2 linked regions of the Tamandua tetradactyla genome follow. The protein of the gene in region 1 interacts with the protein of each later gene in a pairwise test. Links are inferred from orthologs where the notes say so. Each region holds a gene or a part of one and is shown on either strand. Other genes may lie near its edges.

Evidence for each region.
Region 2: the proteins of TRIB3 (region 1) and ATF5 interact in a two-hybrid assay, tested with the Homo sapiens proteins (2 studies listed by BioGRID and IntAct). The link is inferred for Tamandua tetradactyla from reciprocal best matches to the Homo sapiens genes TRIB3 and ATF5.

Annotation. Positions count from the first base shown.
Region 1 is NC_135327.1:22,256,378-22,263,623, forward strand, and holds the start of TRIB3 (tribbles homolog 3), read left to right. Parts: upstream 1-4,113; 5' UTR 4,114-4,300; intron 4,301-7,246. UniProt on the Homo sapiens protein: Inactive protein kinase which acts as a regulator of the integrated stress response (ISR), a process for adaptation to various stress. Inhibits the transcriptional activity of DDIT3/CHOP and is involved in DDIT3/CHOP-dependent cell death during ER stress.
Region 2 is NC_135342.1:11,236,772-11,244,106, forward strand, and holds the start of ATF5 (cyclic AMP-dependent transcription factor ATF-5), read right to left. Parts: upstream 3,123-7,335; 5' UTR 2,862-3,122; exon of another isoform or gene 2,834-2,861; intron 2,605-2,833; exon of another isoform or gene 2,461-2,604; intron 1,669-2,460; 5' UTR 1,550-1,668; coding exon 1,372-1,549; intron 179-1,371; coding exon 1-178.

The DNA.
Region 1 (7,246 bases):
CCCAGGTTCAAATCTCAAATCTGCCTCAGACAAAGTGGATGGCCTAGTGTGAGCCTGTCACCTTCACCTTCACTCTTTTCTACAATGGAGGCAACAGCACCTGTCTCATGGCCCCTTAGGTGCCTACCTACCCCAGGGCCTTTGCACTTACTGTTTGCTCTGTCTCCCCCTCATTCCTTCTCTTCCTTAATATCTTTTTTTTTTTTTTAAATTTTTTTATTAATCAAAAAAAAGAAAAGAAATTAACACAACATTTAGAAATCATTCCATTCTACACATGCACTCAGTAATTCTTAGTATCATCACATAGATGTATGATCATCATTTCTTAGTACATTTGCATTGATTTAGGAAAAGAACTAGCAAAACAGCAGAAAAAGATATAGAATGTTAATATAGAGAAGAGAATTAAAATAATAATACTAATAATATATATATATATAAAAAGGAAAAAGAAAAAAACAAAAACAAAAGATACAAACACACAAACAAACAAACAAAAAACCATATTTCAGGTGCAGCTTCATTCAGTGTTCCAACCTAGTTACATTACACTTAGGTATTATTGTGCTGTCCATTTTTGAGTTTTTGTATCTAGTCCTGTTGCACAGTCTGTATCCCTTCAGCTCCAATTACCCATTATCTTACCCTGTTTCTAACTCCTGCTGGTCTCTGTTACCAATGATATAGTCCAAGCTGATTCTCGAATGTCGGTTCACATCAGTGGGACCATACAGTATCCGTCCTTTAGTTTTTGGCTAGACTCACTCAGCATAATGTTCTCTAGGTCCATCCATGTTATCACATGCCTCATAAGTTTAGTCTGTCTCAAAGCTGCACAATATTCCATCGTAGGTATACGCCACAGTTTGTTTAGCCACTCGTCTGTTGATGGGCATTTCGGCTGTTTCCATCTCTTTGAAGTTGTAGATAATGCTGCTATAAACACTGGTGTGCAAATGTCCGTCTGTGTCTTTGCCCTTAAGTCCTTTGAGTAGATACCTAGCAGTGGTATTGCTGGGTCGTAATCCATTCTGCCATTCTATGTCTTTTGATTGGGAAATTCAGTCCATTAACTTTTAGTGTTATTACTGTTTGGATAATATTTTCCTCTACCATTTTGGCTTTTGTATTATATATATCATATCTGATTTTCCTTCTTTCTACACTTTACTCCATACCTCTCTCTTCTGTCTTTTCGTATCTGACTCTAGTGCTCCCTTTAGTATTTCTTGCAGAGCTGGTCTCTTGGTCACAAATTCTCTCAGTGACTTTTTGTCTATAAATGTTTTAATTTCTCCTTCATTTTTGAAGGACAATTTTGCTGGATATAGGAGTCTTGGTTGGCAGTTTTTCTCTTTTAGTGATTTAAATATATCATCCCACTGTCTTCTAGCTTCCATGGTTTCTGCTGAGAAATCTACACATAGTCTTATTGGGTTTCCCTTGTATGTGACAGATTGTTTTTCTCTTGCTGCTTTCAAGATCCTCTCTTTCTCTTTGACCTCTGACATTCTAACTAGTAAATGTCTTGGAGAACGCCTATTTGGGTCTATTCTCTTTGGGGTGCGCTGCACTTCTTGGATCTGTATATTTAGGTCTTTCATAAGAGTTGGGAAATTTTCAGTGATAATTTCTTCCATTAGTTTTTCTCCTCCTTTTCCCTTCTCTTCTCCTTCTGGGACACCCACAACACGTATATTTGTGCGCTTCATATTGTCATTCAGTTCCCTGATTCCCTGCTCAAGTTTTTCCATTCTTTTCCCTATAGTTTCCGTTTCTTTTTGGAATTCAGTTGTTCCATCCTCCAGTTCACTAATTGTAGCTTCTGTCTCTTTAGATCTACCATTGTAGGTATCCATTGTTTTTTCCATTTTTTCTTCTTTGTCCTTCACTCCCACAAGTTCTGTGATTTGTTTTTTCAGATTTTCTATTTCTTCTTTTTGTTCAGCCCATATCTTCTTCATGTCCTCCCTCAATTTATTGATTTGGTTTTTGAAGAGTTTTTCCATTTCTGTTCGTATATTCAGCATTAGTTGTCTCAGCTCCTGTATCTCATTTGAACTATTGGTTTGTTCCTTTGATTGGGCCATATCTTCAATTTTCTGAGCGTCATCCATTATTTTCTGCTGGTGTCTGGGCATTTGATCAGATCTCCCTGGGTGTGGGACCCAGCTGGTTGAAAGGTTTTTCTGTGGAATCTCTGGGCTCTGTTTTTCTTTTCCTGCCCAGTAGGTGGCGCTCGTGGCGGTCGTTTGTCTGCGGGGCAGTCGGCCCGGGAAACCGCTCGTGGAGGCGGGGGTCGCTGGCCGTGGCTTGGGGGAGTGCCGGTCCAAATTGCCCAGCTGGCCCGAGACGCCAAGCGTGACGGGAGGGCCCCGCTATCCAATGTTCCCAGTCAGACCGGGGAGCCACGTGCGTGGAGGGGACCCCAGACGCCAGCCACCCCAGCCGGGAAAACGTGCACCCCTCGGGTAGCTCACAGCAGTGGATTCTCCCTACCCGTTCAGCCGTTCCAGAATGGGGTACGCTGTCTTTTTTGGTCTCTGTCGTGACTCCGGGAGCTGTTTTGTATTGTTTCTGTTTCTTTAGTTGCTTTTCTGGAGGAGGAACTAAGACCCGCGCGTCTTACTAAGCCGCCATCTTCTCCGGAAGTCCTCTTCCTTAATATCTTAATTCAAAATTACCTTCCTGATGAGCTCTATTGAAGATTGCCTGCCTACCAGTCATGATAGAGAACACACTTCTCTTTTATTCAATGAAATAAATACATGATGCACAATCTGTCTTAAATGATCTTGATTCTTGATAATGGTCTGTCTACCCACTGAATTATACGATCTGTGAAGGCAGAGACGGGTCAGTCTCATCCCTGTTGAATCCCCAGTTTGGTTTTGGAACAGGGCCTGACACAGCATGCCACAAAATTAGGAATCTATGAGCAAACCCGGTCCTCCATTCCTCAACCCTTACAGCCATGGCATCTTCCAATCTGAGCCTTGGTGTCATGGTGTAGAAAATGAATTTGTTCACATATCCCTGGCAGGGGAGTCAGCAGGGTTAAAAGACACCCCAGATCCCTCCGGTAGGCCCTGGGAAGTTCTGAGATACAGTGAGCTGATCCCTGGGGTTCAGGAACCAGAGAAACAGAGGCGACTCCCTCTCCTCCCAGCCAGCCTCTGCCAGGGGGAGTTATTTTTTGACACTGGGTGAATTTAGATACCAAGACCCAAAAGGGATTCCCAAGAAGGGTGCTGCTCAGGGAGGCACCAGCAAAACCCTCCGTGGCCTGGGTTCAAGTCTTGCTGTGGGTCTCTTCTCCTCTCCGGAGACTCTGGTGTCTCCACTTTATTTACAGAGAACCTACAACACGTCACACGCTGTTCTAAGCACTTTACCTGCGTTAACTTAATCCTGACAGTAGCCCCGTGAGGAGAAGACTAGAACCAGCCTCTTCAATGGAGGAGGAAACTGAAGCAGGGTTTTGAGGCAGCGCGGTGTGGGGGGCGAGGTGGGGCTCATGCTAGGGTGCTTGTCCTTAACCACCAGGCAGCACTGCCTCTATCCAATGAATGCTGAGGACCCGGCTGTGAAGTGCAGGCCACTCCTGGAGCCTCCAATGGTTCTCGTGAGCTCGGAATCGGCTCCCAGTGTCAGCCCTTAAACCTGCGAGTCTTTGCAAAGCTCCTGCATTGCTTTCCCATAGCAGGGCCTCAGACTGCAAATCAGTAGAATGGGCACAACGGGAAGTTCTGCCCAGGGTTCTCATAAAGGTTTCACGAGGCCAGGGCGGGACTGTCTTGTCTGCTCTCTCTCTCCTCAGCACCATCCTGGAAGCGAAGGGTGTTCTTCCCATTTCACAGATGGAGAAACAGAGGCTCAGAAAAGCAAAGTGGTTTTTCCAAGATGATAGGGAGAGGCCGTGCCTGGTCTCCGCGCTCGGCCTTAGCCGGCCCCACCTTGGGGCTACCGGGGGCAGAGGGCGGCCCGGAGGGGGCGGGGCCGGGGCGGTGACCTCGCGGGCGGGGCGCGGGGGATGGTGCAATCCCCGGCCCGCGGGCGTCAGGCGGCGCTGATTAGCTCAGGTTTACATCACCCGGCGGGCGAGCCGGAGTCCCTTGCCGGCCGCTCGCCGGACACACGCAGCGCGAGCGGCGGCGGCTCAGCAGGTGTCCGGCTGCTCGGGACCCCGGTCCGAGCGCGATCGGGACGGGAGTTCGGCCGCAGCGGAGCGGCGACCGGTCCGCCTGGGAGTGCCTGGCGGCCCTGAGCTCGGGCGGTGCCAGGTCGCGAGGGGAAGGTAGCCTGCGGGGGCCGAGGAGTGGACCTGGGCCTGGCAGGTTGGGGGCTGGAGGCGGGCGTAGGGCACGGGACTTGTGGGCGTCCGAGGGTGGCTGCGCGTTCACCCACACGCGCGCGCACACATACACACACACACACACACATACACGACTTTTAACCAACCCAAACTCCGCCGTCCTCGGGACTGCCTAGGTTGAGTGTTCCCGCCGGGTCTTAGGTGACAGGTCCCGCAGGGCGTGGGGTCGCCGGAGTGTGGCCGAGTCCGGTTGGGGCGAGTGTGCACACCTGCGGGGAGTGGCACCTGTGCCTGCGGGAGAGGGGAGGAGAGCCCCAAGGAGATAGATCTGGGTCACATCCTGGAGAGGTGTGTGGAGATGTCTGTCTTTTCCGTGAAAGTGGAGTGGGGGGGTTGTGCTGTTTTGTGGGGGAGACCTGTGTGTGAGGGGCCTGTGGGGCTGGGGGTTAGGGGACTGGGAGTGGAGTCCGTGTAGCTGTGGATGTGTGTTTGTGCCGAAGGGGATGTGAGAGCGTGTCTCTGTGGATGATAGGATCTGGGGAGGGGGCTGGGCAGCTCGGGGCAGGTGTCGGCTGTGCGGGGGGGGGGGGGGGCATGGCTGGACCAGGGCAGTGGGACGGAGCAGGCGGTGCAGGGCTCTAGGTGCCGGTGCAGGGCTCTAGGTGCCGGTGCAGGGCGCCAGGTGCCGGTGCAGGCGGGTGGGACAAGCGCGCGGTGCCGGAGGTGAGCGCCCACCTGGCGGGGTGGCTGAGGGCTTTGCAGGTTGGACTGTGCGCGTGGGTGTTTTGTTCCTATAGACCGTGTGTGCTGTGTCCGCAGATTCCGGGGTGTGCGGGGGCGAGGGCGGAGGTCCTCCCCTTCTCCAGGCGCTGGGGCCCAACCCCTCTGCCTCACCCCCTCCCGGTCCCGTGAGCACCCCTCGGTTTCCGCTGACCTTTCTGCCCCCAGACACCCGCCGCCAGCAGCTTCCGCTCCCACGGGGGAATCCGGGCTGCGGAAGGCTGGTCAGGGCCCCCAGCTGGCGCGGCCCCGCTGTTGGTCGGTGCGTGTGGGCGTGTTGGTGTGGGTAACCGATGTGATCATTCCGAGACGAGCGCTGTGTGGGCTTGGCCGTGGAGGGTGAGGGGTGTGTCATGGAGGGTGAGGGGTGTGTCATGTAACTGTGTGTGAGCCCCACCCTGCTTTGAGTGTGTCTCAGACTACTTGAAGGAAGTGTGTTTCTGAGGGGTGCAGGTACCGCTGTCAGCCTCGGGTGTGTGTGTGAGTGTGTGTCATGGGTGTGATTCCGCCTTCCTCCCTGCCAGGATATTAAGGATATTAGGATATTAGGGATTCTCAGAACAGCCCTGTGAAATAAGGCTTGTCATCGCAGCCTCATCCCTGGGGAGATTTCTAAGACTTCCCAGAGGAGCACTGACACACCTTCAGCTATAAATAAGGGCGATAATAACAGAACTGCAATACTGATCATTTCCAGACACCTACCCGCGGCAGGGTGGTGCTGAGCTTTATTTGCATTTCCATCCCAGGTACCCCAAATCCTGTGGCCTTTGCATGACATTCCCATTTGCAGATGAAGGAACTGAGGCTCAGGAAGACTGAGGAACTTGCCCAGCACTACCCAGCCAGGAAGGGGCCAAGCCAGGATTAGAACTCAGAAATATCTCACTCCAGCCGCCCCCTTTTGCATTCGTTTTTAGAGGACACTGTGACCTTTCCTTGGATGCAGGGCTCCTCCCTCCCAAGGCAGCCTGTGGATTTGGGAGCAGCGTGATTGGAGAGGTGAGCCTCAGGCTGACAGCTGACTCTGAGTGGTGTCTCCCCATTAATCCTGCCCTGGCTGTTGGGAAGGTCTTTAACAGGACTGAAAACTGTGTCCTTCTAGACCCTCATACCTGGGCCTCCTTTTCCTCATCTGGGGTCTGAATAGGTGGGCAGATGGGTCTGGAAGGAACCTTTCCTGACATGCCCTCGCATTGCCCTCCTCCAGCGACATGTACAATTACACAGCTGGATCCATGGCAGTTTCCTCCACAGTTGAATGGGGCCTTAGAGAGACACTCTCTGCCTTGCCCCATTTCTCCGGTAATGGTAAACTGGAACACTCAGTTGTCTGTCTGGTAGACTAACTCTGCATGTGGACTCTGAGATTCTGCTAGCCCTTGGACCATCAGGACAAAGCTGTAAAAAAAAAAAATCACATTGGAAAAAAGAAATACACTCCCTGTTTTGAAATACCTAAGCAATAACTGAAGGCAGCATCTTTATTTTAAATTTTGAAATGGAGAATTCCTTTGCCTTGCTTCCAAATCCTTTCCTCTCCAGGAGCCACTCTGGCTAGTTTAGGCTGGATCTTTCCAGACATTTTTAAATGAATTTACACAAACACAAATATATTGGAAAGTCCTCCAGGATGAACTGTTTAGTGGAAAAAAAAAAATAGTGGAGAGATGGGCTTGGTGATAGGTGAGAGGGAGGGAGAGAGATTGCCCTGCATCTGTTAAGTTTTGTAGTGCGAGCATCTATTATCTATGGAGAAGAGGAGGAAGGAAGGAAGGATGAGGAATGAATGAAGGATGTACTAGACGCACACGTGAATGTGTGCACTGGAATGCACAAATCAAGTGAACAAAGCAAGCTGCTGAATGATACAAGCAAGATGATCCAATTTATTGTTTTGTCTTACTGAGGATATATGTTATACCGTTGGGGTTTTTCTTACATAAATGGAACAATATATAATCTTTTTTTAACATAAGAGCATTGTCTGCACATAGTTCTGTTTTGCCTTTTTCACTTAATATATTTTGAAGATTGGTCCACATTATCCAGAGACCATCCCAGTCCCTTTTCAGAGCTGCATAATATTCCATTGTATGGATGTACCATGGTGTTATAACCAGATTTCTACTGCTGGAATTTGGGGTA
Region 2 (7,335 bases), on another chromosome or scaffold:
GCATCAAGGAAGAAGTCCTCCATCTGTTCTAGCTCCTTCTTGAGGAGAGTGGCCATGGCTTCCAGGTCAGGTGGGGGCGGGGAAGGTGGGGCAAGGGTGCCTGGGGGGAGGGGGGGCTCCAGAGGGAGGAGGGCTGTAAAGTCAACCCGTTCAGTCATCCAGTCTGAGAAGCCGTCACCTAGGGGATTAGAGGGGGGACATAAAAATTCGCTGAGTTCCTGGGCCTCCATTCAATTGGTGCTCACTCATCTCTGCCTCATTCAGGCCCCATTCATCAGTAAAACGGCTAACCACTCAACAAACCAATCAATGAATCCTCAAACCAGTCAGTAAACCAACAAACCTGCCAAGGAACCAATGAACCAAGCAACCAACTAATCAACCAAGCAGTGAACCAGTCACCCCTTCCAACCAACCAAGCAACCAACTAATCAACCAAGCAGTGAACCAGTCAACCCTTCCAACCAACCAAGCAACCAACTAATCAACCAAGCAGTGAACCAGTCAACCCTTCCAACCAACCAAGCAACCAACTAATCAACCAAGCAGTGAACCAGTCAACCCTTCCAACCAACCAACCAACCAACCAGTCAACCAACCAACCAAGGAACAAGTCAGCCAATTCATCAACCACCTAAGGAAACAATCAACTTATCCATCAAAGAGCCATTCAGCCATCCACCCAACTACCCAACCAGTCAACCATCCAACCAACTAGTGGACCAAGCATTTCTTCAACCATTCCAACATCTTCTTTATTGATTACATCTGTGGTTTTTCTGATTCACTCTCTCTCTAGCTTGTTCTTCAAATACAAAGTGAAATGCATCACACACGCACCTTATTTCATCTTTAGTTCATTAATTATTGAAAACCCACTATGTGCCAAGTGTTTGGGATACAGTAATGCATAAAATAACTGCTGCCTCAAGGACTCTGCATACTCTCTTTCTTCCACCTGAAATGCTCTTCCCTTGGGCTTTTCATGGTTCATTCCTTCCCATCCTTTAGGCCTCAGCCTAAATATTATCTACTTGGAGAAGCCTTCCTGGCTAAACTAGGTCCCCTTTGTCATGTTCTAGCTTAGCTGCTAAGGGCCCACTTAGCCGTCTCACCATGGGTGCCCCAAACCCCACCCCATTTAACTTGTCTCTTGTCTGTCTCCACTAGAATGTGAGCTCCAGAAAGGCAGGGATCACGCCAGTCTTTCTTCCCAGCTGTATACTCAGCACCTAAAACAGTGCCTGGCACATTGTAGGTACTCAATAAATATTTACTGAATGAATGAGTGAATGAATGAATGAGTTCTTCCTTCCCCTTTGTCCCCCACCTCCCCATCTCACCCTACCTCCACTCTTCATCTATCCTTACCTGTCAGGGGCTCTCCCCCCCCTGGAATCCCGCCCTCCAGGGCTCCCCCAAGGACCTCATAGGGGCCCAGGGGGGCAGGGGCCAGGGGGAGTTTCCCATAGTCTACGAGCCAGCCCAGCCCGCTAGCTGGGAGCAGGGCCCTGTCCAGCTCCAGACCCAGGGTCGCCAGGAGTGACATGGCTGCAGCACAGGCGCCGGGCACCAATGGCAAGGGAGGTTGCAGCACCAACTGCTGGGAGGAGGCTCAAGAGGATGCTCGGATGGGCGGAGACAGGCAGCAAGGCCAAAGTAGAGGATCTGCAGGTGGGAAGCAAAAGGGGTGGGGTCAGAGGCCAGCTCCACCCACTGGGCAAAGGCACAGGACCGCCCCTAAGCTACACCCCCATTGCCACGGAGACCCTCCTCTCAGAATTCCAAACCTGCTCTTTTTTCCCAACAATCTTAGAGCCCCACCTACTCCCAAGGGAATTGTCCTTGGGCCCAGCCTACTTTTCTCCCAAGCTCCACCCCTTCTTCTAATAGAGAATGTAGTGTCCTCCCAGCGGAATTTCCTTACACCTTTCCCATTCACCCCATGATACTCCTCTTTAATAAAAAAAAAAAAAAATCCAATCCCAGGGGAATTTCCTTCCAGCCACACCCTGTCCCTAAATTATTTCCTTTAGATCCCACCCCCTCTCGAAATCCATTCCTTCTAAAATCAGTTCCCAGGGGAATTCTCCCATGCTTTGCCTCTTCATCAGTGTTCTCCACTGAATTATCACCGTCATTACTTTAAACTGTGCGGTGACTCCCACGATGCCCCCAAAGTCCTGCTCCTCTCCATCTACTTTAGTTCCACCCCTCCCTGACAATTCTCTGTGGATCCCGCCTCATCTCACAATAGGCTTCACAAGCCCCGCCCCTCGCTACTGCTGTGGCCCTAGCCCCACCCCCTCTCCTAGAGGGTGGCCTCTAAACCCCGCCCCCACACCGTCAATCTATGCCAGGCCCAGCAGGTGCTTGGAGAGGGAAGCTGGGCAGTGCGCCCGCGCAAGGTGGAAGGGACACGTTGAAGGAGGGAGCAGAGAACGGCTCCCTACCCCATACCCCTCCGCACGCGCCTGCCTCCTCGAGAGCTAAAGCGCGTGATCGCTCCCTCAAGCCTCCGCCCTACGCGAATACTGGCTCTGGTGGGCATGAGCGGCCGCGCACGGACAGGATCGTTTCCGAAAAAAATAAAACCCACCCTTTCTGAGGGCTAGTGCGCAGGCGCCTCGGCCCACGGGCCAGACTCAGGCACAAACACCCTCGCGGGAAGGGCCCTTCCCCACCCCGGACCGAGTGCGCATGCTCGGCCGCGCGCCGCCGACCGCGGCCTCTCCCTCCTGCGCCTGCGCGACCTAGAGTCCACGCTCCCGGCTCCCCACCCCCCGGCCCCGGTGAGAAGGCCGCGCGCTGTGAAAGGGCGGGAAGGGCGGTTGGAGAGGGAGGGGCGAGCGGTTACTCACTCCATGGCGGCGGCAAGGAGAGGCGGCGGTAGCCTCGGCTGAAGAAAGAAGCGGGAGCGGAAGGCGCAGGCGCGGTGAGCGCGGAGATGACCGGGGGGCAGGGAGGATTCGCGGCTACAGGGCCATGGCCGGGACTGCGCGGGTGGTGGCGTCGCGCTGGCGTGAAGGGAGACCGTGATCCGAGGATAGGGAATGAGGCGGCCCCGGGGACCCGGGACAGATATAGCGGGGGTGGCGCAGCACGGCTCTGCCGGATCCTTCCGCGCTCCGCCCCTGCGGGCCCCGACGGGCCCTGGCAGGGAGGCGGGCCCGGCCCCCTCGTCTCTGTGACCCGGAGTTTGGGCCCTTTTCTCCTCTCACTCTGGGGCCCAGTCTTCTCCCTGACTCGGGTGCCTGGCGCCCTCCTCTCACTAACCCTGCGGTGCTGTGGTCCTCTCTTCCGTCTGACCCGGGATTCCGACCCCTTCCCTCCTCTGACTCTAGGGATTCTGACCCGGGAGCACAGACCCCTTTCTCCTCCTTCCTTTGACCCCAGGGTCTGGGGCCCGACCCCATCCCCCTCAGCTTCCCTCAGGCCTTCACGTGTCTCTCGCCTTCCCCTGCTTCACGAAAGAACTTCCGGCCAGCCGCACCGGAGTCTCTGCCCGTGCCTCCGTGAGGATCCTTGTGGGTTACTTCTGCGGGACCCCGGGGTCAGACGGTGCTCTTTTCGAATCACCTGCCTGGTGATCTTGAGCAAATAAGGTCTGTGGACCTCTTGTCGCTATCTATAAAATGAGAATTATACCCTCTATTTGGTGGGGTTGTTTGAGAATTAAAATGACAGTGTCCATGAAGCACAGCCCAGCTTGTACTCATCTGGTAACCCTGTCTTCTTATTAATAGGAACGTTGGGACTCAGTATCACGTTGTCTTCCCCTCCTGGCAGAGCCCCAGATACTTGACCAAGATTTGCTGGTAGGTTCCTCTTATGTAATTTCCAGCTATCACCACCCTCCCCCATTCCAAAGGGTGGGTGTTCAGCCCACCCCCGTGCAGGGATTTTGGCATTGTTACCCCCACTTCATCCTTTTTCCACCCTCTGTTCACCTCTGCCCACCTGCCAACATCCACAGTCCCTCAGTCCTTGTCCTCTATACTCTGACTCCACCGCGTGTGTTATTCTCTGCTTCTGCCTCTCACCCAAACTTTGTTTCAAATTGTCCTTTGCCTAAGCTGCCACTCACTGTGTGAGGAACTCAACCCTGCCAAAAAATGGGGAGATTTATGATTCCATTTAGTGAAAGAAAGCAGCCTCCTAACTATTCTTCCCCCACCCCCATACATTGGACCCTCCACCAGCCCTGGTTGGATGTAGATCTTTCCTCTGCTGCAGAAACCCTCTTTCCCACCTTGCATCCATCCACATCAGAATGTTTCACTTGGAGTTCAGCCCTCATCCCTTCTATTTGTGGGTACATGGGTTAGGAATCGAACCAGGTCTTCTGCATGGCAGGCAAACAGACATTCTACCACTGAACCACACCTGCACCCCCAACCCTCATCCCACCTGGGACAGTGAAGACACTGAATCGAGGCCCAAAAAATGTGTGGGAACTTTGATTTTGAGAGTGTCTGGGAGTTAAGAAATCCCCTCTCTTCCTTCATTGTTACATGTGGGAAGTCCTTCTTGGATCTGACCCCTTACCCTCTTGGTGTCCATCCACTGGGCCAGTACTGAGCACTTGCCCCATAGCTGGGCCCTTTGGAGCTACATTATGACCTAGACAGGGTACGGTAGTGGTTATCAGCACAGGCTCTGACACCAGGTGATCTGGGTGCACAGCTGGCTGTGCTCCACTCACTAGCTGTGTGACCTGGGCAGTTACACTTATTTCCCTGTGCCTCTGTTTACTCTGTGCCCAGTAATAGTACCCATCTCTTAGGGCTGTCATGAGGATTAAGTAAGTTAGTCCATGTCAAACATTTGGACTTGTGCCTGGCTGCTGGTTGGCACTGTTAGGGGTGGTGGTTAGGATTGTTGAAGCTCCAGTTGCAGGAGTTAAAGTTTCAAAACTAGCCCTTCACCAGTTTCTGGAGGCTTAAGGACAAACTTCCACTTCTCACTATAACTCAGTGACAGCAGGTGGTAGGGGTTAATGCTAGACAGTTGGACTCACTGCGGTCAGTGAGGAGGTGCCGCCCAGACCACCAGATTGATGAGGCTGCCACCCTTACTGGGAAACCTGCTGCTGCTGGCAGGATCTGGCTCCTAGACACTAGTTTCACTCTTCTCCTGCCATCTGGCCCCTTCCCTAGCAGAATCTGTTTCCTCCCTCTGTCCCTTTCCTACAGTAACCTCCCAGAATTGTCTTCTGAGTAGGGTCATAGATTATTTTTTAGATAAACTTTTTACTTTAGAATAATTTTAAGATTTACAGAAAAATTGCAAAGATAGAAAATGTTCTCATGTACTCTTGAACAGTCCTGGCCTTTGGGTATTTTAGGGAATGTCCCTCAGTATGAGTTTGTCTCATGGTTAAACTGACATTGTGGGGTTTTGAGCAGGTGGCCAGGGAGGGTATCTTTACTAACTGAAAAGAAACTAGCTCGGTTTGGGAATCATATTGCTGATTGTATGTGATGTACTGTCTGAAAAGTCATCTTCTTGGTCCTAGCCCCCATGCCCTTTTCACTCTGGCTGTTGGAGCCTACCTAATTCAGCCCTGGCACAGACTGGCCCACCTAGGCAGCATCACTGGGTTTTGCCAAGTGGGTGCTGGGTGCTCTGGGCTGCCCAGGCCTGCCAATAGATTCTAGTTCACAGGCAGTCATCTGCAGCTGGCACCCTGTGCCTTGTCCCATATCCATGCCTGACCCAGGTTCTGGCCTCTCCAGGACTCAAATGCCTCAGCCTCCCCCAGTCTCCCACAGCCTTTCAGGGTGCAGGTGCCCCAGCTCCTTCAACTCCTGAGATTGGAGTTGGAAGCATGGGTGGGGCTGCTGAGGACTCTTTTTCGGTGCGGAGGGGCCAGGCTGGGGAAGTGAGACGGCGATTGCAGGCGGGTTGCATCAGCCCTTGCTCTTTGATGGGGAGGGGGAAAGGGGGGATCCCCTGGGGGCCTGGCGCACCTGGCAACGGCTCCTTTTTAGCAGAGCCCTGTATCATGGAGGGCTCTGGCCCTGCACGGGTGGAGGGTGTGGAGGGAGGGAAATCAGCTGTCTGGGCAGAACTTTGAGAATCTGAGGCCCAGTGCCAAGAAGGGGCCTCAAGGGCAGAGCCCAATCCACTTGTCTTGGGGAGCCAAGACTGAGGCCACAAGAGGCAGAGGAGGTTGTGCAAAATTGCACTGCTCTTCAGAGCGCGAACTTACACAACACTTCCCTGCAGCACCAGCCCTGGGAACCCCATTCCTTGGTCCATGGTGTAGCCTCTTGGGGCCACCAAGCTTGGACTTTCACCTCAGGTTGGCTCTGCTCACAATTGCCAAAAATTCTATTGATTCTACCTCCAAAATATCTCTCATGGACCTTCCCCTCACCATCCCACTGCCCCAGAGAAGGCCTCCTCACCTGTGCTATTACAGCAACCCTCAGTGGTTTCTCAATCAAGGCCTCACCTGGCATAAGAAAAGAGGTACTACATTTGGCATCAGATGGACTCGGGGTCCTATTCTGGCAACTCATCACTTACTATCAGTCCTCAGCCTGTCAGAGCCCTCTGCGTGCTGCCTGGGGCTTAGCTTGCGCTACAGAGATGGCCTGCTGGGTACAAAGCCCCACTTGTCACACTTGCTCCATGACCTTTGGCAAATGGCAGCATCTCTCTGTGCCTTGGGTTCCTCACTGGTAACGGGAATGAGAAGACCCACCTCATAGGGTTGTTTTGAGGATTAAACAGATGAATGTTCATAAACTTCCTAGAGTAGGGCCTCGCGTGTGGGAAACACTCTGCGAGCATAGTTTTTTCTCTCTGAGGCTCAGGGTGCTAGGAGGCCCAAGTGAAGTGATGCAGGTGAAGCCCAGTCCCTAATGGAAACTGAGGGTCTATCTGGGTTAGTTTCTCTTCCCTTTCCCTCCCCTGTTCACGCCACACTTTGTTCTGCTTTCATCACTGCCTCGCAGGCAGGTGTCCGTATATGTGACTGTTTGTGGGTACTTAGAAGACAAGGATGGGATCCCCTCATTCCCAGAATTGTTGCCCATATTTAGAAGGAACTGCTTGTCCACAGAAGCTGGGACATTCTACACTGTGGCCCTGAGAAGCATCAGGACTGGTGTCTGGTCACGTAGGCCAGGAGGGCAGGGGTTGGAGGTTATGTCCTGCAAACAAGGGTAGTAAGGCCATGGCCAGTGCAGTTGGGGAAAGGGCAGTGTGGGGCCGGGTGTCCAGAGTTCAGGCTTGCCACGTGGCCCAGCAGCTCAGAGTCCTGAGCCCTCTTTCTCCCCTCACTTCTGCCACGTGCCCCTCAACAGGAGCAGTCCCAGCTCTTAG